2 linked regions of the Rattus norvegicus genome follow. The main gene of each other region encodes a partner of the protein of the gene in region 2 in a complex. Links are inferred from orthologs where the notes say so. Each region holds a gene or a part of one and is shown on either strand. Other genes may lie near its edges.

Region 1 (11,542 bases), on a different chromosome or scaffold from region 2:
TGTCTAAGCCCCTAGAGGAGAGACAGTGCTGACTTGTAAGCTCTACAAGGTGAGGTGGATTTTGATGGGTGCATAGCAATTAAAGGGGAGACAACAGGGAACCCCAAACTGAACATGCAAGGACAGGAAGCTGTCAGCCACTCGTTACAGACACTGTTGTTTCCTGCTCCTTTCCTCTGGGGCTCTCAGGAATCTGAGTGACACTGATGGCATGTCACAGGCCGAGTGTGACAAATGCAGAAGTTAAGCTCCTGAATACCCGGCTGGAAGAGAATGACACCCTGTTCACCTACAGCCACATCAACAAGTGACCGGGGCAACAGAACAGATAAACAGAGCAGACGGGGATGCTGGACCTCAAAGCAAGGCCAAGTGGGGTTCCCGGAATCAGTTGAAAGGCACTTCCAAGAAAGGGATATGAGCAATGGCATCAACAAAGTCAGAGCTAAAGGCAGGACATGGAATATGAACGACTTGACTTTGTTGCCAGCCATGCATAGTGCCCTGGGTTTTTTTTTTTTTCTCTTCTGATACTAAAGGAAAGAATTACCATTCTCCTTTAGTAAAATTTATCTGAATCAATCAAAAGCTCATTTATTGCTCAAAAAATAATCTTAACCAGGAGTGGTGGTGCACACCTCTAATCCAGGTGTTTGGGAGGCAGAGGCAGCACAGACAGATCTCTTGTGAATTTGAGGCCAGCCTACTCTACACAGTGAGTTCCAAGTCAGCCATAGCTATATATTGAATTTATATAGATGTAGATGATGATGGTGGTGGTGGTGGTGATGGTGATGCACCTGGAAACCAGGGTATTAGCAGAAAGGGCTGGTGAAAAACGCTCTTAAGAAGAGACAGATTAGTCTCAAGGGTTGTGGATGAATGTTAAGACTGAGTTTTATCCTGTGGGCAATGCAGAACATCTTAGAGAAAGGGATGTATAGAATGGAGGGGAGAATGGAAAGAAGTGAGGGTGGTGGCATGGAGACGAGGAGAGACAGAGACAGAGACAGAGACAGAGACAGAGACAGAGACAGAAACAGACAGAGGCACTGACTGAGACTGTGTTACTGGAAGATAGCTAGGGGGTAGGGAAAACCTGGACCAACATGCTCAGTCAGCAGGATCAACAGCAGGGGGCAGGGGAGGTAACAACTGTCTTTGGAGGAAATATGACACTCCTGTAAATTTAAGAAGGTACCTGTATAACCTAAGGAGCCAATGAACTCCACTAACATCTGTAGCACTTGTCTGACACTCCCACATACAATAAATGGTACTCTCTGGTCTTCTCAAATAAGGCTTTGTTAAAGTCATTTCATCCCACCTTGGTCAGCAGCGGCAATCCTCCCCTCTGCAGCATCTCCCCTGTGTATGTTCTTCTAAAATTCACTGTTATCTAGATAGGTACAGAGCTCTGCTAGTGGAATGTCTAGCTTGTATGAAGTGCTGGGATTAACATAAGCCCGGCATGGGGGCAACACTGTTGTAATCTCAGCATCTGGGAAGTGGAGGCAAAGGGACCAGAAGTTCAAGGACATCAGCTAGATATATTTGAGGTCAGTTTAGGATGAGTGAGAAGCCCACGCAAACAAATATGATGATACACTTACCTGGCTTATACACTAACCTGGCGGAGGAGTTGCTCTAATCATGAAGATGGTTTTCCCAGGAAGAGCCTCATCCTCTCCATTCCAGATGTGCTGGCACCAGCAATTTCCCCAAATGTGGGAAACTAAACTGCGTAATTCACGGTAGCAGAGGACTGCATCACAGTCTCCTTTGAAATATAAGGAATCCAATCTACTTAGTTTAGTTTCCCCACACCAGTGTAAACAGGGAATAGCATTTTGCATATGGCTACAAATAATCCATAACCACTGTATTGCCATGCTCTCAGATTAAAAATACTTGTTTTTTAGGAGACTTTTTTTATATGAGGGGGAAGCATACCAGAAGCAGGCATGATAGCTCTTTTAATCCCCAGAATGTGGAAGGTGGAGGCAGAAGGATGGGAAACACAAGGCCATTTTTGGCTACATAGCAAGGTTTTTTTTTTTAAGATTTATTTATTTATTTTATGTACAGCATTCTGTCTGCATATGTGACAGAAGAGGCACCAGATCTCATTACAGATGGTTGTGAGCCACCATGTGGTTGCTGGGAATTGAACTCATGACCTCTGGAAGAGCAGTCAGTGCTCTTAACCACTGAGCCATCTCTCCAGCCCTACATAGCAAGTTTTGAGGCAGTGCCTTTACTCACTGATCTATCTTGCTGGCCCTGTCTTTTGCTTATCTGCCACAGTCTTTTGCTTCTTTGCTTTTCTTGGATCAAGCTCCCATGATAGAATTCTAAAACTTATTTAATTCCCATAAGGTCTCATTTTCTTTTGGGGCCTGTTCAGTAAAACATAATGACTCTTCCTTGATGACCTTGGCATTCAGGCTATTCGGAAGTTGTTATCACAAGCATAAAAGAAACCCAGAAGAGTCAAGAAAAAATTGCAACATGTTTCATCATAACCATCATATAAAGAGTTAAAGGCTTCAGGATGGCATCAGCCTGCACTGGGACAGTGATACAGTGATTTCTGTCATGGGGTGGATGCTCACGGAGTTAGCTTCATGTTGTCTTTGATAATGGATTATGTCACATGGAGATTCTCCAGTTACTGCTAATAGAAAAGGGGTGGGCACTAGCACCAGTATGAACCCCTATGGAAATACTGGATCTTTTACTGTGACTAGGCATTACACCACTATCCTGTAGAATCCCAGGGTACATTTAAGATCTACATGTGATGATCCATTCTAACCTTCATACATGTTTTGTGATAGAAAATTTGGTACTTGAACAGATTTAGAATCTAGTAAAAAGTTATGATTTTAAAAGTTACTCGTTATTTCAGCACTGGGAGACAGGAAGATCTATGAATTCCAGGCTAGCCTAGTCTACATAGCAAGACTCTGAGAAAAAAAATACAAGACCTGGAAAGAAAGCTCAGCATTTAAGAGCACTTGCTGTTCTTGCAGAGAACCAAGTTCAGGGCCCAACTTCTAGGTGGGGCAGTGTATAGTAGTCTGTAGTTCCAGTCAAGGGGATCCAACTGTCTCTTCTGATCCCTACTGATACTCACACATAACTCAAAATAATAAAATCTTAAGATCCAAGATGTCTTGCAGTATGAAATCCTTTTACGGTAGCCATGGGTTTAACCTAGTATTTATTGTACAGATGTACAGATGTCTAGTATACAAACTTGTTTACCTCTTCCCCTTTGTTGAGAAGAAGTACTTTGTAACATGGCTGCAGGTCAAAATATGCTGTTAATCTGCATGTAGAGGAAGAAGCTGGAAAGTACTGTTGAAATCAGAAATGATTTCCTTTTGAAAGAAATTACCACTGTGAGTCCATGCATGCTAAGCAAGCATTTTACTACTGAGTTAAGCCAACAATTCTTTAAAAAAAAGAATGGCATCAAGGAAGACTGGAATCTCTCAAGCTGGTCTGTGAATATTACAGACTTGAACTAGACATGAAACGCAAAGCCCAAAGTTGTTCTTTTGGTGAATGGAGAATGGAGAGAGTACAGTTTACTAAGATACCAGGATGCACACTGGGAGAGAAGCCATCACTTTAATTAACGGTTTTCACTTGAATTCCTGAATCCCTTCACGTTTTCCACTCTATTTTTATTTTTTTTAACATTTTTTTTTATTAACTTGAGTATTTCTTATATACATTTCGAGTGTTATTCCCTTTCCCGGTTTCCGGGCAAACATCCCCCTCCCCCCTCCCCTTCCTTATGGGTGTTCCCCTCCCAACCCTCCCCCCATTGCCGCCCTCCCCCCATAGACTAGTTCACTGGGGGTTCAGTCTTAGCAGGACCCAGGGCTTCCCCTTCCACTGGTGCTCTTACTAGGATATTCATTGCTACCTATGGGGTCAGAGTCCAGGGTCAGTCCATGTATAGTCTCTAGGTAGTGGCTTAGTCCCTGGAAGCTCTGGTTGCTTGGCATTGTTGTACTTTTGGGGTCTCGAGCCCCTTCAAGCTCTTCCAGTTCTTTCTCTGATTCCTTCAATAGGGGACCTATTCTCAGTTCAGTGGTTTGCTGCTGGCATTCGCCTCTGTATTTGCTGTATTCTGGCTGTGTCTCTCAGGAGCGATCTACATCCGGCTCCTGTCGGTCTGCACTTCTTTGCTTCATCCATCTTGTCTAATTGGGTGGCTGTATATGTATGGGCCACATGTGGGGCAGGCTCTGAATGGGTGTTCCTTCAGTCTCTGTTTTAATCTTTGCCTCTCCCTTCCCTGCCAAGGGTATTCTTTTTCCTCATTTAAAGAAGGAGTGAAGCATTCACATTTTGATCATCCGTCTTGAGTTTCGTTTGTTCTAGGGATCTAGGGTAATTCAAGCATTTGGGCTAATAGCCACTTATCAATGAGTGCATACCATGTATGTCTTTCTGTGATTGGGTTAGCTCACTCAGGATGATATTTTCCAGTTCCAACCATTTGCCTACGAATTTCATAAACTCGTTGTTTTTGATAGCTGAGTAATATTCCATTGTGTAGATGTACCACATTTTCTGTATCCATTCCTCTGTTGAAGGGCATCTGGATTCTTTCCATTTTCTGGCTATTATAAATAAGGCTGCGATGAACATAGTGGAGCACGTGTCTCTTTTATATGTTGAGGCATCTTTTGGGTATATGCCCAAGAGAGGTATAGCTGGATCCTCAGGCAGTTCAATGTCCAATTTTCTGAGGAACCTCCAGACTGATTTCCAGAATGGTTTTACCAGTCTGCAATCCCACCAACAATGGAGGAGTGTTCCTCTTTCTCCACATCCTCGCCAGCATCTGCTGTCACCTGAGTTTTTGATCTTAGCCATTCTCACTGGTGTGAGGTGAAATCTCAGGGTTGTTTTGATTTGCATTTCCCTTATGACTAAAGATGTTGAACATTTCTTTAGGTGTTTCTCAACCATTCGGCATTCCTCAGCTGTGAATTCTTTGTTTAGCTCTGAACCCCATTTTTAAATAGGGTTATTTGTTTCCCTGCAGTCTAACTTCTTGAGTTCTTTGTATATTTTGGATATAAGGCCTCTATCTGTTGTAGGATTGGTAAAGATCTTTTCCCAATCTGTTGGTTGCCGTTTTGTCCTAACCACAGTGTCCTTTGCCTTACAGAAGCTTTGCAGTTTTATGAGATCCCATTTGTCGATTCTTGATCTTAGAGCATAAGCCATTGGTGTTTTGTTCAGGAAATTTTTTCCAGTGCCCATGTGTTCCAGATGCTTCCCTAGTTTTTCTTCTATTAGTTTGTCCACTCTATTTTTAAAATAAATGGTGTGAAATAATTGAGTGTAAACGTCCTGAACCCAACAGATTTTTACTGAGTTAAAAGTTTGATCTGTGAGAACACATACCACCTGTACTCTATTGAATTGATCAAACACAAGAGGGAGAATACTACGAGAAAAGCTAAAGCCACCAACTAGTGGAAGTAATTGATGGAGTTGTCCTTGTGAAAACCTTAGTTGTGAAAACCTTGGCTTCAAAAAGGAAGATGGGCAGGCGTTGTGATTTGCGCAATTAATTTCAGCATTGAGGCGGCGAAGGTAGAGAACTGCGCCGGTTTAAGAGCAAGCTCAGCCTGGGCTACATAGACTATCAAGCCTCGGGCTTCCCCTATCATTCCATTCCCCAACATAAAATAGAAGAGAGGTGACAAGAAACTAAGAAAACTGGAATTTGAAAACAACAAACAAACAAAAACCTGCATGGGTATTGAACAATTTGAAAACCGTGATATTGGGAAGTGAAGTGTTGGTAGGGTGGCCTGCTGGTGTTCGCCCAAGCAATGGCTGGGTTAAGATTCCAGCAGCACCTGTTTTGGCTTCCTGCTCTATCTGCCGTTACACAAGCACAGACTCTCGAACGCCGAGCTGTGGGAATGTTTTGCTACCCTGGAGAGAGGGGCAAATCAAAACAAAATCCTACAGGAATTAAGGAGAGAAACACTATAAACCAGTCCCCAACAAGCGCCCTAGTTCTTCGGTACTGCCAGGCAGAAAGGGACAGGGCTTTTGCGTCATAAGTCAGCGCCGGAAGTTGGCGAAGCAGCGCCGGTAGTGTCTCTTGCTTCTAAGAGCCGGAGAAAGCGTTTGCGTGCACAGAGGAGGGACGCTTTCCGGAGCTGCGGAGGTAAGGGATCGGCGGGTGATTTGGGAGGTAAATTGGAGGCAAAACTAGGAGAGACACCTGGCTTTAAAATATCCCTGGACGACCGAGAGCGGTAGCACACGCCTGCCATCTGAGCGCTTGGGAAGCAGAGGTAGGAGAATTCTGCCATCAACAAGCACCTTGACTTTCAATCTAAGGCTACAAAGTGAGTTCTCGGCTAACCTGAATTACAAAGTGAAGACTCTCAAAGCCTTCTTAAAGAACCAAATGCGAAAATAAAGATCCCCGGTGGAGTTAATGTTGAGACAAGCTTTGACGGAGCTACTGCTCCCAGCTCAAATCGGAATTCCTTTGCGGAGTGATACTGGACAAACCAACATGTCCTTAGCCTCCGTTTCTTCGTGTGTAATACCCTCTAGGATCCTGAAGAGTAATAAACATTCATAATGTATTTACTATTGTTGAAAATGTGCTGTATCCTTCAGACCCAGCCCACATCACTGTTTAGGGGAAGTAGATAATTACTTTTTTTTTTTTTTTAATTTCCCCATCCGTAATATTGGGTATTGATTCTTGGGCTTCTGCACACTAGGCAAACATTCTACTGAGGTTTTCCTCTTTGGTCGGAAAATCAGAACCTCGTATAGCTTCTGAGAAAAAGATAAATCAAATGGGGCATGTTTTGTGCGAAGGCCCTGTTACTCAGTCTTTGGCTCTCATTTCAGGCACGAACAATGGACACCCAGAAAGATGTTCAACCACCAAAGCAGCAGCCAATGATATATATTTGTGGAGGTAAGATTAACATTTAAATAATGCTTTACTTAGGAACGCCCCCCCCTCCCATTAAAAAGAATCCTTCCATACATGAGTACAAATCTTTAAAATTATAACGTGGAGCACTTTAGCGATTGTTAATTTTAAAATCCCTCTACCTTATTAAGATTTCTTCCTTTTATCTGGAAAAGGTGTACTGCCTACAGCTCTTCTTTCTCCTTGGTCTGTTCAGTAATAAGAATGTACTTGGATGTTTTGGTGCCCTGGTTTCCTCCTGTTTTTAATATGTTGTTACTGTTTGCTTCCCTGGAGTGTTTCTCTTTCAGGCTTTGAATAAATGTGCTTTCTTTCCCAGAGTGTCACACCGAAAATGAAATAAAATCCAGGGATCCAATCAGATGCAGAGAATGTGGATACAGAATAATGTACAAGAAAAGGACTAAGAGATGTATCCTTTTAAGTATACTTTTTAAATGTGAAGAGGAAGTAACTAATACTTGGGTTGATAAAGACTAAGATCTGGGGCTGGAGAGATGGCTCAGTGGTTAAGAGCACTGACCACTCTTACAGAGGTCCTGAGTTCAAGTCCCAGCAACCACATGGTGGCTCAACCACCTAGTAATGGGATTTGATTCCTTCTGGTGTGTCTGAAGACAGTGACAGTGTACTCACATACATGAAATAAATAAATCTTTAAAAAAAAAAAGACTAAGATCTGATCAAAGTAGTAATAACTTTTGGATTATTTTTTAAGCAGAGTGCATGTGGACTTATTGAGAACTGAAAGAGTGGAGCCTCCACAGGAGGTATACCCAGATTAATTATTTTAATAGGATTTATTTTTCCCAAAACTTGTGGGGTAGAGACAGGCAGCTCCTTGTGAATTCCAGGCCAGTCTGGTCTACACTTAGGATTCCAGGCCAGCTAAAGCTACTTAGTGAGACCCAGTCTCAAAGGACCAACTAGGGGCCTGAGAGCTGGATCTGCAGGCAGGAGCATTGCTGCTTTTTCAGAGGGCCTTAGAACCAACATGATTGCTCACAATCACAGGTGGTCGGATAGGCCGACCTCTGACCTACCAGTGCGCGGGACCCAAATGGTACATACATGCATACAGGCAAAAGCACTTGTGCATAAAATAAACCTGAATAAAACAAATTTTAAAACCCAGTAAATACATTTTTAATTCATTTATTAAGGTTATCACTGGCCTTCCTAAACCTCTGTGGCCTTATACTGGCTAGTTTTGAAGGCCAACTTGACACAGGCTGGAGTTATCACAGAAAAGGAGCCTCAGTTGTGGAAATGCCTTCGGGAGACCCAGCTGTAAGGCATCTTCTCAACTAGTGATCAAGGAGGGAGGACCAAGCCCATTGTGGGTAGTGCCATCCCTGGGCTGGTGGTCCTGGGGTTCTATAAGAAAACCAGCTGAGCAAGCCACGGGAGGCAAGCCAGTAAGTAACATCCCTCCATGGCCTCTGCATCAGCTCCTGCTTCCTGACCTGCTCGAGTTCCAGTCCTGACTTCCTTTGGTGATGAAACAGCAATGTGACTGTGTAAGCTGGATAAACTCTTTCCTCCCCAACCTGCTTTGTGTCATGATGTTTGTGCAGGAACAGAAACCCTGACTAAGACAGGCCTCAAACTCAGAGATCCACCTATCCCCGCCCACCACCTCTACCCCCCAAATCCGGGATTAAAGACATGTACTCCCAAGGCCTGGCAGAGGTTTTTATATAAAGTAAATGTGATTAGCATTTTCATGTACCATTCATTATGGGCTTTCAGTAATATAAAAACTAGTTGATAAGTCTTTTTTACTTTTCAGGAAATCTTTGTTTTTAGTAATAGTCATTGTTGGTTATTAGTTTATGAACAATATAAAGTACGGAAGAAGAGATTAATAACAGTGGAAAATAGTGAGGCCTACAAATTGTTTCATGGTAACGGACACAAACTCTTAAAAGTCATCAATTGTTTCAGTGAGTTTTTTTAATTTGTGTTTATTTTTAATACTACTTATATTAATATATGTTACATTATTAATTTATATTATCTTGTATCCAAAAAAGTAAGCTACTGAACATGGCAGTAGTGTACTTTATTTTTTTAGATAATCTCTGATTATAGTGAACTTCATTCTTTTGTTCATTTTATATTCAATTGCAAGCTTGGTGCAGGGGGTAACTTGGAAGCCTTAGTCTTACACAATTTTAAGTACTGTTTAAAATCCTTAACTCAATTCAACAGTGGTGGTTTTTGATGCTCGATGAAACAGTGGAGTTGAGGAATGTCTTCATACATTTGCCTCGTTGATGTTTCTCTTTAATGTATAGCATTTAACTTAGCTTACTTAATGACTACAACTGTGTACCTATGATTTCATTTTAGAAATGCCAATTGTATTTTAATACTCTGTATAAAGGAAATTTCGGGTCAACATATGACTTAATTTATTGTCCTTGTAATTCCTCATACAGTGAAGATTAAAAGTGTTTCTCCAAACCACTTCAATCCAGTGTCTTGTTAAAAAGCCATCGAGCCAGGTGATTTGTGTTCAATGGGTCTGTCCTCTGACCTCCACGGGCACACGGAGACTCGGGCATGTGCTTGTGGTGCACCCACAGAGACAATTAACTAAAATAGAACATTGAAAATTCTGAATGCAGCTTTTTAGAACCCTTTTCTAAAGGTCTGAAGAGATATGTCCCTTGGGAACGACTGTACTTTGTCAACAACTCTAAACTCTCCAGAGTGCCACTGTACTTCCTGTCTGTAGAATTGTAAAAAGCCAAAAGGAAATAGACTTGGGCAGCGGGCAGAGGAGCGGCTCAACACTTGAGAGCACTTGCTGTACTTCCAAGGGCGTCTGGCTCTGTTTTCAAGCACCCGTTGTGTATATCCCAACAGACTGGAACTCCAGTCAGGGAACTGACACTGCCTTCTGGGTGTGTACACAGTCCACACAGACCCACACATAGACTATAAAAAGTGTTTCCTCAGTTATGTAGGTACACATATTCCTTAGACCACAGAGTTCTGGGAGTTGGGTGTAGTGGAGCCTGTCTAATCCCAGTGCTTGGGAGGTGGAGGCAGGAGGATTCAGAAGGTATTCAAGGGTTGTCTCTGGCTACATAACTAGTTTGAGGCTAAGAGTGATTGACTACTAGAGCAGCCGGTGCTCTCCCATGGTACTCTACTCTGTTGCTTTACTGTATGTCTAGGTTGGCTGTTTGAAGACGGGTCTTGACTCTGCAATCCTCCTGCTTCTGTCTCCTGTGTAACTGGGAGTGCAGGCCTACACTACCAGGCACAGCTTGAAATACTTTCTGCTGTTCAAGAGCTCTGTAAATTGAATAAACCTTGGCACCCCTTGTGACCCTTACTAGGCCTTTCTTTACATTATCTGTTTATTGGTTGCAATACTTTTTTTCTTTTATGAGGACAGATATATTTTCCTTGCCCACAGTCTTCAAGATTATTTTGACCTTTTGTCAATTCAGCATAGATTGTATAGCCAGAAGAAAACATGAAGTGTGACAAGAAAATTACGAACCCCATGGCATGACAGCCATTCTCGAGATTGTTACAGTTTTTCTCTGCAGGAAATCAGTGTTGTGGGAGTTCAGGTGGTTGCTTGAGACTCGATTTGCCGTCTGGAGTGAGCACCTGGAGCATACGATGCTGTTTCCACATAAGTGGGTCAGCCTAGGGACTATCCTAAAGCTTGGGTCTTCATCCACAAATACGCAGTTTAGCATTCTCCCAACGTCACGCCCTAAGTAAGTATATAAATGTAATAGCGTGATCATTGGGACTGGTAGCAGCAGTGGCCCCTGCCCGCAGACTCGTCGGGACGTAGACAAATTTATTTACAGGATTCCTGTTTTGGACTGAGTACATACCAGCTGCTTTGCGCATCTACTTTACCAACTCTGAAATGTATTTAAAACGGAAGTAAATTTCTCCACAAAACGACCTCTGCTGCTTTATTCATCTGAATTGCTTCTATCAATCATTTGTATCTCCAGCACCTTGTTCCTCACCAACCTCTCAAGACTGCATGAAAAGAGGAAAATGTGCCTTTCATTTATTCTTGTTCAAAGGACAGTAGATAAGTAAGCCTAGTGTGTAACAAAGAGTCTAACGTTTCAGTTACGTAAATTTCAGTTATGTAGAACTAGACACCACTTTCCTTAGGAGTACAGCAGTCTATTGATAGCGTTTTAAGCGGGGTGTTGGAGGCACACACCTTTAATCTGAGCACTCGGGAGGTAGAGGCAGGCGAATCTACAGAGGGAATTCCAGGACAGCCAAGGCTACGCGTAGAAACCCTGTCATGGAAAATCAAAGCAAAAAGAAACAGCGTTTCACTTGCTGTAAAACAGACTGAAACCCAAAGGAGGGGTTTCGCTCTGGTTCTGGTCTGGGTGATGGCCGGAGTGGGCTGCGGCCTGTGAGGCCAATCAGCGGTGGCAGTTGGAGTAGCCAATCGCCGGGCAGCGAGCTTAGTCTCCGCCCAGTCGTGTTAAGCACTGGCTCCGGTTCTCGGGTCGCTCTCCGCTGGTCATA
Region 2 (11,271 bases):
TGGGCTGGTGGTCCTGGGTTCTCTAAGAAGCAGGCTGAGCAAGCCATGAGAGCAAGCCAGTCAGCAGCACTGTCCATGGCTTCCTTCAGTGATGGATTAAGCTGCAGAAGTGGAAGCCAAATAAACCCTTTCCTCCCCATGTTTGCTTTGGTCATGGTGTCTTATCATGGCAATAGTAACCCTGACTAAGACAGATCTGAATTATTCCAAAAGTCATCATGGTGATGGATGTTCAACTCTATAGAGAAAACGAACATGAGAAAACACACATGTAATTACTTCTGATATGAAGCCTTGGTTTGTAGTCCAGGCTTGCCCTAAGTAATTGTCCTCCTGCATCAGCTTCTTCTTTTTTTTTTTTTTTTTTTTTTTTTGGTTCTTTTTTTGGGAGCTGGGGACCGAACCCAGGGCCTTGCGCTTCCTAGGTAAGTGCTCTACCACTGAGCTAAATCCCCAGCCCCTCTGCATCAGCTTCTTAAGTGCCAGGGACACAGGCCTGTGCCACCATTAGCCAGCTTTCTGAGGATTCTTACAAGCTGCTGAACTGCAGTATAAACAGTACATAAATATAAATTGTACCTCAGACAAAGGAGGGACAGAGAGGAGAGAGAGGTAACCTAGGCAAGCGGTTCTCAGCCTTCCTAACACTGACCCTTTAACACAGTTCTTCACGTTGTGGTGACCCCAACCATAACGTTATTTTTAGTGCTGTTCGTAACTGTACTTTGCTACTGTTATGAATTGTAAATATCTAATATAGGGGGTTGGGGATTTAGCTCAGTGGTAGAGCGCTTGCCTAGCAAGCGCAAGGCCCTGGGTTCGGTCCCCAGCTCCAGAAAAAAAAAAAAGTAAATATCTAATATGCAAGTTATCTGATATGTGACCCCTGTGACCCCTACTTGTGTTGTGTTGTGTGGGGTTTGGGGAGCTTTTGTTTATTTTTGTTTTTGTAGACAGGGCTTCTCTATCTGTGGCTGTCCTGGAACGTGCTCTGTAGACTACCTTGAACTCACAGAGATCTACTACCCTCCGCCTCTGAGTGCTGGGATTAAAGACAGTGCTACCACCGTCGTGTTTCAAAGATAGGATCAGTGGGCTGGAGCTGTGGGTCAGACGTTAAGAGCACTGACTGCTCTTCCTGAGGTCCTGAGTTCAATTCCCAGCAACCACATGGTGGCTCACAACCATCTGTAATGGGATCTGATGCCCTCTTCTGTTTGTCTGAAGACAGCTACAGTGGACTCAAACATAAAAATAAATAAATCTTAAAAAAAAAAAAAAAAAGATAGGGTCGGAATTCTCTCGCCTCAGACCTGAGTTCTGGGATCACAGCAAGCACACCATGTCTTTTTTGTGTGTTATCTTGACAGGGAGACTGCACTCGGGTTGAGCCAATTCTTAGAGAAAGTGGAAGGCTTACCCCTCCTGTGCACTGTCCTCAGCCCACTCTACTTGTTCTGCCATTCAGTCACCAAAAGCCCTATCCCTATAATCAACCAGGCCCATGTGGCCTGCGGCACAGCAACCTTGAACATTTAAACAAACTGGTCCCATGGAAAGTCTGTAAGGTGCCATTCATTTCCTCAGTAACTCTGCGCCATGACTTCCCAGGTGGTGTTAACTCAGCATGGCCTTGTCTTGAAGACCTCTGGGTCCCCACTCACCCTCTTCTCCACTGGCATCACTGGCATCGGATGACATTTCCAGGTCATCTTCCAGGTCATGAATGCGCAGTTCACTAGGCTTCTTACGGCTGCGCTTCTCCTTCTCCTCCTCATCTTCATCCTGGTCCTGGTCCTTGAGTCGCCGCTGCTGCATGATGCTGAAGTGGTTCAGGACCTTGTTCCTCCTACACATGGGGACAAGTGACTGAGTACGTTGTGCAGCAGAGGCTGGTGGAAGATAATGACCAGGACACTCAGATGGGCACCGTCCTTTTCAGGGACAATGGGCATGACGGGGTAACCTCGTTAAGGCGCGCACACTGTGAGGAAGCTAAAGCAGAAAGACCCTGTAGGGTGTTAACCTGAGCCACACCACATGCAACAGAGGGGGGGAGGGGCAGGGCATGCAGCATGGGCCATTTCAGACCCCCGGATCTTGAAATAATATAGGGTGAGCCCTGAAATGGCCTCAGGCCCACGTGCACTTGAGCCCTCTGGGAACCCCACATCTTAGCTCCTCCAGACTCAGGGTCTGTTCCAGGCATATCCAGCCATCATATTGGTTAGCTAAATAATTTTTTATGCTTTTTCCTGGGAGGGGAGGGTTGGGGAGGGTTGTTTTGTTTTGTTTTGTGGTTTTGTGAGATAGGATCTCTACTGTCCTGGCTATCTTGGAACTCACTATGTTGACCAGGCTGGCCTTGAACTCACAGAGATACTCATGCCAATGCATCCTAGAGTGCTGGGTTAAAGGTGTACACCATCAGGCTTGGCCCAATTAAAATTCCTTTAAAACAGGATCTTATTGTGTGATCTTAGCTGGCATGGAACTTGGAATATACACCAGTCCTCAAACTCAGAGAGCCTGTTGCCTGTGTACCAAAGTGCTGAGATAAAAGGTGTGCACCACTGTGTCTGGAGCTCTGGGTGTTTTGCTGAGATAGAAGGCGTGTACCACTGTGTCTGGAGTTCTGGGTGTTTTGAAACCAAATCTTGTATAACCACAGCTGGCCTCAAATTTAATACAGCAGAAGATGGACTTGAACTCCTGATTCTCTTGCTTCTGCCATCTGTGTGCTGAGGTGTGCACTCACACTACCCCCACCCATACCCCCATCATTAATTTATCTCAAGGATTACATAGAGTAGGGTCTCATTGGACAAGGAGCTGTCCATGAACCTATGTGTGCCCAGAATAAGGCTAAGCATAGTAGGAGGAGCTGCTTTTGACATTTCAATCCCAGCCCTTGAGAACCGGCACTATTCCAGGCTTGTAGGCAAGCACAGAGCAACCCCATGGACCACATCAATTCCAACAGCCCTCTCTGGACACACAGGGCCCACCCTCAGCAGGTGTACACGACATCTTATGCTGTCCACTGAGTTTCTCTATCCCAGCTTCCCTGTACCCATCTTTGTTTCTACCTCCCAAGCTAGAACTGAGGCGGTTGCCATGAAGAGGCGCCTCCCTGACCCCCAGGCTGTGCCTATCTGTGGTACTAGCCTTCACTCAGCTCCCAGGCCTGCCAAAGGAAGCACTGCTTCCTGCTCCAGGCAGGCTTGCTCCAAGGGCATACACATTATAACCACCACTTCTGCCTCACCTCTCCCATTCCTCCTCAGCTTCCTCAGCAGTCAGTGTGCGGTGTCGGGCCAGCGGTGTGAAATTGTACCAGTTCTGCACAGGGAAGGCCTCGAAGGCGCCATCCGCACACTGTGTGAAGATGTAGTAGGCCGTGTTCTCTGTTACCCCGCCTTTCTTGATGCCCTTGAACCTGCAGAGAGCCTCAGTTAGGTCAGGACCTCACCCACAGGGCCTGCCTGCACTCCATCCACCCCCTTACAGTACCCATCTGGGCTCTTCTAGGAATGACAGGACAGAAAGGCATGGGCCACCACCTCCTTAACCAAGTACCACTCTGCCACCTTGTGGCCACCATCCTCACAGCTGCTCCCAGCCTATAACCCACCATGGCTACTGTGGGGCCCTACAGCATGCAGGCTCCAGCTATCAGTCCACTGAGTAACTATGCATAGAGTACTGGTCACTGGCTTTCTCAGGCTCCACCATCCCAAGTGTCAAGGTGCTCTCCAGGTCACAGTCAGGCTATTGAGCCAGGCCAACAGTCTCCAGTTTAAGATTAAACTTTGACAAGAGAGGTGGTCCTGGGCCCCCATCCTGTTGGGAACAGACTTGAGGACAATGTCTCCTAAGCATGCGTGTGTGAGGGACACAAGCTGGAACTCCCCACCATCAGCACCACTCACTTCCTCCCCGATTTGCCATTGACACGGAGTAGCCAGGGCTGGTCCTCAGGCCGGAACTCCTTCAGGACGATGCCATACTTCTTCCGGCGAGCCTCCTCCCTGAGCTTGCGGTTGAATTCACTTCCTGCACCAGACTCTGGCATCTCCTCTTCCTGGTAGATCTTCTTGTTGCTCAGATCTCGCTCCAGCCGTGCCTGGAGGGAAGCAGGAGCAGGGATACTCTCCTGTCGCGCTGTGCCAGGCCTCACGTGCCCCAGCACACCCGCATGCGGCATGAGGGCAGGGATATGAGCACCTGCTCTGCCCAGGGAGAGGGCGGTGGAGACGCCTCAGTGGATAACGTAGCTGCCTTGCAAGCATAAGGATCGGGAGTCCAGACCCCCAGTACCACAGACAAAGCTGGGTATGGAAGTGTGCATCTGCGACCCCAGGAGAACGGTGTAGACAGCAGGGTCCCTGGGACTCACAGGTCAGCAAGCCCCAGGTCCAGTTAGATACCCTGACTCAAAACTGTATGTAAAAAGGCTGGGAAAGATAGTACTTGCTATATAGTCTGCATAAAGTATAGCCTGCAAAAGGACTGAGGCTTGAGTTCAAGCCCTAGGACCCACACAGCATAAAGTGAGAACCGACTCCTGCAAACTCTTCTCTGATCTCAACTCTGCATCCCTCACACACCTGTGGCCCAACAGATGTCATTTTAATAATAAGGTGTAGAGTGACTATGGAAGACAGCTGATGTCCACTCTAGCCTTGACATGCACAGCATGCCCACATGCACATATGCACACACACACGACTCTGGTCATGAGGAATGTGGGACTTACAACAGTAAAACAGACTGGTCCATGAGATCACGGAGACCACCCGAGGAAGGCTCAGGAGCAACCCAGACAATATGGAAATAGTAACATTTTAACATGACACCCAGAATACTGGGTAGTTTAAAACTTTGGCCTTTAACACTTTTTTCCTCTTAGTATTATCTAGAGAATCCTGTTATGTAGCTCAGGCTGTTCAAACTTATGATCCTCCTGCTTCCACCTCCCTGGTGCTGGGATGCTAGTATCCCTGGCTGTACCCATCTTGTGGTATGGTTTTATCCTTTCGAGACAGGGTCTCACTGTATAGGCAGTCTGCTCTGAAGCCCACTGTGCAGACCAGGCTGGCCTCAAAGTCAGAGATCCACTGACTCTGCTGCCAAGAACTGGCATTAAAGGTATGTGTCACTATGGCCTGCTGGCTTTATCTTAAAAACAAACACTCCAAACTTATAAAATGCATTTGTTTTTGTACATGACATGGCCTGCTTGTCATCTTGTTACCCGTTACTTTACTTTATAGTATACATATAGACATGGTCTATATATATATATATATATCCGGGGCTTCACTCAAGCTCACTATGTAGCCAAGGATGGTCTTCAATTTGAGATCCTATCCCCTTTCCCATGCTGGATAACAGGCGTGTGCCAGCCAACATGCCCATTATACATGGCGCTGGTGGTCCCCCTGGCCTCCTATATGCCAGATGAGTGCTCCATCAATTGAACCGTACCCTCAGGCTAGCTTCTTCTCTTTGAGATAGGATTTATTTAGTATAGGCTGGTCTAAAACACTCAGTCTTTCTACCTCAGCCACCAAATAGCTGGAATCACAGGTCTGCTGGGGCTACAGGTGTGGGCACTACTGTTTCAGTAAAGTCACCAGCCCAGGGTTAGGTCTCTGCCCCAGACACCCAGAGGCATACACTTACCTGGTTCCAGGTAGCAAAGTTGACTTTATCAGCTGCATTAAAAGCCATTATGTTGTATCTTTTGGCTGTGTTCCTGGAATGGGCAAGAAACTATTCAATCCATCGATTAGCCATTCAACAAATCTACGATTTACACCCTTGGTTGTAGGTAATTCTGGGAACTCAAAAAAGACTCGGGAACAATGGTCCTCAACCTTCCTAAAGCTATGACCCCTAATACCCCTATGACCCCCTCATGCTGTAGTGACCCAACCATAAAATTATTTTTGTTAGTTCATAACTGTAAGCTTGCTACTATCATGATTCATAATGTAAATATCTGTGTTTTCTGATGGACTTAGGCGACCCACAGGTTGAAAACCACTGCTCCAGTTTCTCAGGGATTTTTTAATTTTGTTTTTGTTTTGTTTTTTTTAAAGACTCCATCTCATCCAACCCCATATAAAGATCCATAGGCACCAGGCACTCTCACAACACACATCTATATACACACAGGCATACACAGAGATAACACTAAATCCTTAAGAAAAAAATGAACCGGGGGCTGGAGAGATGGCTCAGTGGTTAAGAGCACTGACTGCTCTTCCAGAGGTCCTGAGTTCAAATCCCAGCAACCACATGGTAGCTCACAACCATCTGTAATGAGATCTGATGCCCTCTTCTGGTGTGTCTGAACAGCTACAGTGTACTTATATATAATAAATAAATAAATCTTTAAAAAAAAAAAAGAAAAAAGAAAAAAATGAACCAAAGGTGTAGAGAACCTTTATGTAGAGAGGAAGGCAGGCAGGCAAGGGCTGGAGGTGAATGGGTCTTAGTGGGTTTCAAAGTCAGCCTGGTCAAACCGGCTAGACTACACAGTAAAACTGTGTCTTCAAAATAAACAAAAAAATAAAAGGGGACTAGGTGTAGATCAGTGGTACAGTGCTTGCCTACCACAGGCCCACCTAAGATAAAATTAGAAGTTGAGGGCCATGGCACTTGGCACAGAAAGCAGGATGTGTACTACTTGTGACCAGTTTGGAATTTTGTTTTATTTTGAGACAGGCTCTCACGATATGTAGCCCTGGCTGGTCTGGAACTCCCTCTATAGACCTGGCTGACCGCGAACTCAAAGAAATTCTCTTGTTTCTGCCTCCCAAGTGCTGAGATTAAAGGCAGCCACCATGTCTGGCCTGACCAGTCTGAAACAGGACAGAGTCACAGACCCTAACATTAACTACCAAGATTTACCAAGACATATTACTATGTCTTGGACGCGGCAGTAGGGCCAGCGTGGCAGGGGAACACAGGGCCGAGGTTCTAAAGTGTGGATGGACGGGGACTTACTTGGGGACTCGGACGACGTACTCAGTGACATTCTGGCTGCTGGAGCCCTGCAAAAGAACAGGAGTCTGTAAGGCGAGAAGAGGGCGCGGGGTCTGTTTTGCGACACCTCCATCCCCACCTCATTCATACTTACTAGAGCCGCCATGGCCGTTGCTCAAGCTGCTCCGGGTCGGCCAGACCTGGATGGTCTTGGTTGTGTCCCTCGGACCCAGGGAAAGCACCTTTCCTGGTTGTCACGTTAGTGTGATCCTGTGCTTTGGATTTCCAAACCCTTAAGTCTCCTAGAATGCTGGAAGACGAGAAAAAAAAGAGACTTAGAACGCTGCGCATGCGCCACAGCCTGACCCGGAAGTAGAACTGCCACACGGAGACGAGAGCTACCACTGTACCTAGTCTGTGTCTTCTCCAGCTTCTGAGCGAAATAAAGCTGCTTTCTCCCAGTGTTCTCTTTTACATCACGGATAACTTATAATCACGTGAGAATACGTCACTTCGTGACGTCAAGACGCGGGCAACGTGGAGCATCTTGGGTAGGGTGGGAATGGAGTCTTCTGGTGTTCGCGTCCTCGGTACTCTCGCGCAAGCGTAAATGTCCAAGAAGCGGGAGCGGAGGCCGCGTTGCCATGGCAACCGAGGCTCGCTCTGTGGAATGGCCTCCGGGGCTCTTCTGGGGTGGGTCTGAGATTCCGTTTTCTTTTGTGTCCTGGAGTCAGGGGATCCCGAGGATCTTGCAAAATGAGTCCCTTGTGACGTAAAGCGGAGCCGAGGAGTCGTTGCAGGGCAGAGACCCGGCCCCGGCGTACCCCAGCATTGCGGGCGGGATGGGTCTGTGCGAGTCCACGCTGCCCCAGCTGGGCAGAGCTTTACGGCCCCAGGAGAAGGGTAACAACATGGGGTAGTTGGTCTACATGAGGCAACGGAAGGGGGCGGTGGGCAGGTATCCCACCACCTGATTGTGCACACCAACCCTTGCACGACAGGAACGCATCTGCACATGCTCCCACCCCACCATTGGTTGATGCCTTTGGAATATAACTTGAGTAGAGGAGCCAGTGTCAGAGATGGAAAGTACAATTCTCGGGGGAGGAATCAGAAAAAGGGAGCCTGTGGGACTCATAGGAGTTGGGACCCTCAGAGGGTCAAGGGTGGTACAGACATTGAACCTGAGAAGGATGAGATATGGTGATTCCATGTTAGTCTTTACAGAACCATAAACAACTGACTCCACTGATGTATCTAGTAGCGGAGACATTCATTTCTTCACTTTCGGGGAGCGCACCGTGAGTTACAAAGGCTGGTTAGGAAGACTAAAGGGAGTCAAAAAGGACAAAGAACAAAGAACCATGACTGTGAAGGAGAGGAAAGGGTTGTGTGACTAGAGGCACAAGCAGGCAGGATAGAAAGGACCGCATGGTGGGTGGAGCAGGGTGCTATTGGGTGGGTTTGAGGGCCTTCCTCTTTCATTATCTGTAAAATGGGTTGATGGAGTCAGTAAGGCACTTCATGGAGGTCTGTGCAAAAGGCCGGTGGCCTGCTCAACAGAGGGAGCCTTCAGTGTGAGGCCAGGATCTCTTATAGACTCGTACTAGTACCCACTTTCTTCCCTGAACACCATAGACATCCTGAGGTATCCTCTGATCATCTTTGTGGTGGGGGGGCCTGGCTGCGGGAAAGGGACCCAGTGCAGAAACATGGCTATGAAATACGGCTTCTACCACGTGGAGCTGGGCCAGCTGCTGCGGGAGGAGGCTCAGAGAAGCACCCAGAGGGGCCGGCAGATCCGGGACATCATGCAGCAGGGACTCCTGGTACCCACGGTGAGCGTTCACAGGAGACAGGGGCATGGCCGGACAGGGTGTTCTGGCCCAGCCACTCACTGCCTTGCTGCATTAACACTGTTCTTATCTGACAATGCTATGACGATATAAGGGTTAAGGACACTGGCTGCTCCTCCCCAACCTGGGTTTGATTCCCAGCACCCAAATAACAGTTCACAACTATCCGTCAACTCTATTTCCAGGGTTTCTGGCTTCTGAGGGCTCTGCATACACTCACACATGTGTACAGACATACATACAAGCACTCACACAAATAAAACAAGCAAACAAAAAAAAAAAAAAAAAAGCCACTGGCCTAGCATGCTCAAAAATCCTGGGTCCCATCCCCAGCCATGCAGAAACTGGGTACATGCTGGGCAACCAGTCCTCGGGAGGCGAAGTCAGGAGGATGAGGAGTTCTAAGGCATCCTTTATTACATATACAGTTCAGCCCGTGCCAGGGGCCAAAGATGGCAGCCAAGCCTCACAGCCTGAATTGACTCCTGTGAATGGCACATGCACCACCCTTCCCCAGCTAGATAAATAATATAGAGATCTAATAACTGTTTTTTAGATCTAATAAACTTATAAGAGTCTACCCATCCACCACACACACACACACACACACACACACACACACACACACACACACACACACACACAAAAGATTCTAGCCTGGACTATGTCATGGGGGAGGGGTGACAAAGGAGGGAGGGAAGAAGAAAGTCACGTGAAGTGGCAAACACCTGTTGTCCCCAAATCCGGGAGGCTGAGGCAGGAAGATGGGGAATTTAAGGTCAGCCTGGGTTACATAGACCCTAAGTACATAAATTACTTAAACAAATCAGCTTCTGTACCCATAAACTGCACACCCGCATATCCAACGGACTCTACCAAAAATACCCAGGAAGCACATTGCTGAGCAGGGATACGCTTCCTCCCCTACACAGCAAAGTATAGCCATTTACCTAGCATTAGACTGATGGCGTGTCAGGTAATGTAAGCTATCTGATGGGCAGAGTGGGGCAAGCCTGTGTCCCAGGACGCTGGAAGCAGTAAGTTCAGTTCCAGGTCACTAGACTTGAAAGCACACCTTTCATCCCAACACTGGGGAGGCGGAGGCAAGAGGATATATGAGTTTAAGGATGAGCCTGGCTATGTGAGACTCTGTCTCTAAAACAGAGTATTAGGAGTCTGTGAGTCTCGTTCAGAGAACAAGGGTTTACCTAGCATTTGTGAGGTCTTGGGCTCAGTATATGGGTGTAAAGGGGTTGGGGGAAAGGAAAGAGAAAAGAGCCAAGCACTCAGGAGGCAGATACAGGGGAGTCTCTGAATTCAGGGCCAGCTCGGGCTCCATGCCTAGTTGCTGGGGAGGTGACTAGCTGTTACCCGAGACTAAGTGCTCTGTAGACACGAGTTCAGTTCCCAGGTGGCTCACAATGGCCTGTAGATCCAGCTCCAGGGGATCCTACTTCTTTGGCCTCTGGGGCACCTGCTTGCACCTGAACATATCTACACACAGACAGACATACAATCAGAAGTAACTTCAAATTATTATTTTAGATACATTTATTCTATATTTACATGTATGTGAGTACAGTGTAGCTGCCTTTAGACACACCAGAAGAGGGAATTGTGTGCATCACAGATGGTTGTGGTTACTGGGAGTTGAACTCAGGACCTTTAGAAGAGCAGTCAGTGCTCTTAACCTCTGTGCCATCTCTCCAGCCCCCAAATTATTTTTAAAAGCATGTAAGGAGAGAGGGAGTCAGCGATTGTCCTACAGGAGGGCCAAACTGAATGACCTTCATAGCCCTTGGCCTCTTTGGAGGGGCAGATTCTGAGTCCATGCCCTTTCCTTCCCAGGGTCTCATTCTGGACATGGTCAGTGACAACTTGTTGTCTTATCCAAAGAGCCGCGGCTTTCTCGTCGATGGCTTCCCCAGAGAGCTGGAACAGGCCAAAGAGTTTGAGCGGATTGTGAGTGACCATGATCCCCCCCAGAGGCAAGAGCCATTCGGGGGGGTGTGCTACCTGAGTGGAGGTTCCAGACCAACCTCTCTCCACTCTCCATAAGACCCTAGTGGATGGATATAAGAGGACCTGTGGCTGGGAGATAGAGCCTTCCTTCCTCTCCTCCTTCCTCTCTTGATCCCCACCCCCATTTCCCGCTTCCTTCAGATTTCATATATCCTAGGCTGGTCTCAAATCCCTTAACAGAAGAGAGGCTGACCTTGAACTCTTATTCTTCCTGCCTCTCTCTGGGGTGCTGAGATGGTAAGGTTGTGCCACCACACCTAGTTTATATGCTGAGGATGGAAGTCAGGGCTTCAGGCATGCTGGGTGAGCCCTCTACCCAACGTGCTCTGCCCAGCCTGCACATGCGACTTGGAGGTATATGCTGGTCACCCCAGCACTGGGATCCTGTGAGGCAGGA

What was found.
Region 1: Gtf2f1 (region 2) and Polr2k share a complex: the UniProt entries of both Homo sapiens proteins name them as parts of the TBP-based Pol II pre-initiation complex. The link is inferred for Rattus norvegicus from reciprocal best matches to the Homo sapiens genes GTF2F1 and POLR2K.

The regions. Positions count from the first base shown.
Region 1 is NC_086025.1:69,235,102-69,246,643, forward strand, and holds Polr2k (DNA-directed RNA polymerases I, II, and III subunit RPABC4), read left to right. Parts: upstream 1-6,131; 5' UTR 6,132-6,214; intron 6,215-6,918; 5' UTR 6,919-6,927; coding exon 6,928-6,988; intron 6,989-7,325; coding exon 7,326-7,418; intron 7,419-9,220; coding exon 9,221-9,243; 3' UTR 9,244-9,478; downstream 9,479-11,542. UniProt on the Homo sapiens protein: DNA-dependent RNA polymerase catalyzes the transcription of DNA into RNA using the four ribonucleoside triphosphates as substrates.
Region 2 is NC_086027.1:1,932,910-1,944,180, forward strand, and holds the start of Gtf2f1 (general transcription factor IIF subunit 1), read right to left. Parts: upstream 7,289-11,271; 5' UTR 7,163-7,288; coding exon 7,151-7,162; intron 7,065-7,150; coding exon 7,018-7,064; intron 5,762-7,017; coding exon 5,689-5,761; intron 4,127-5,688; coding exon 3,933-4,126; intron 3,440-3,932; coding exon 3,269-3,439; intron 1,850-3,268; coding exon 1,665-1,849; intron 1-1,664. UniProt on the Homo sapiens protein: TFIIF is a general transcription initiation factor that binds to RNA polymerase II and helps to recruit it to the initiation complex in collaboration with TFIIB. It promotes transcription elongation.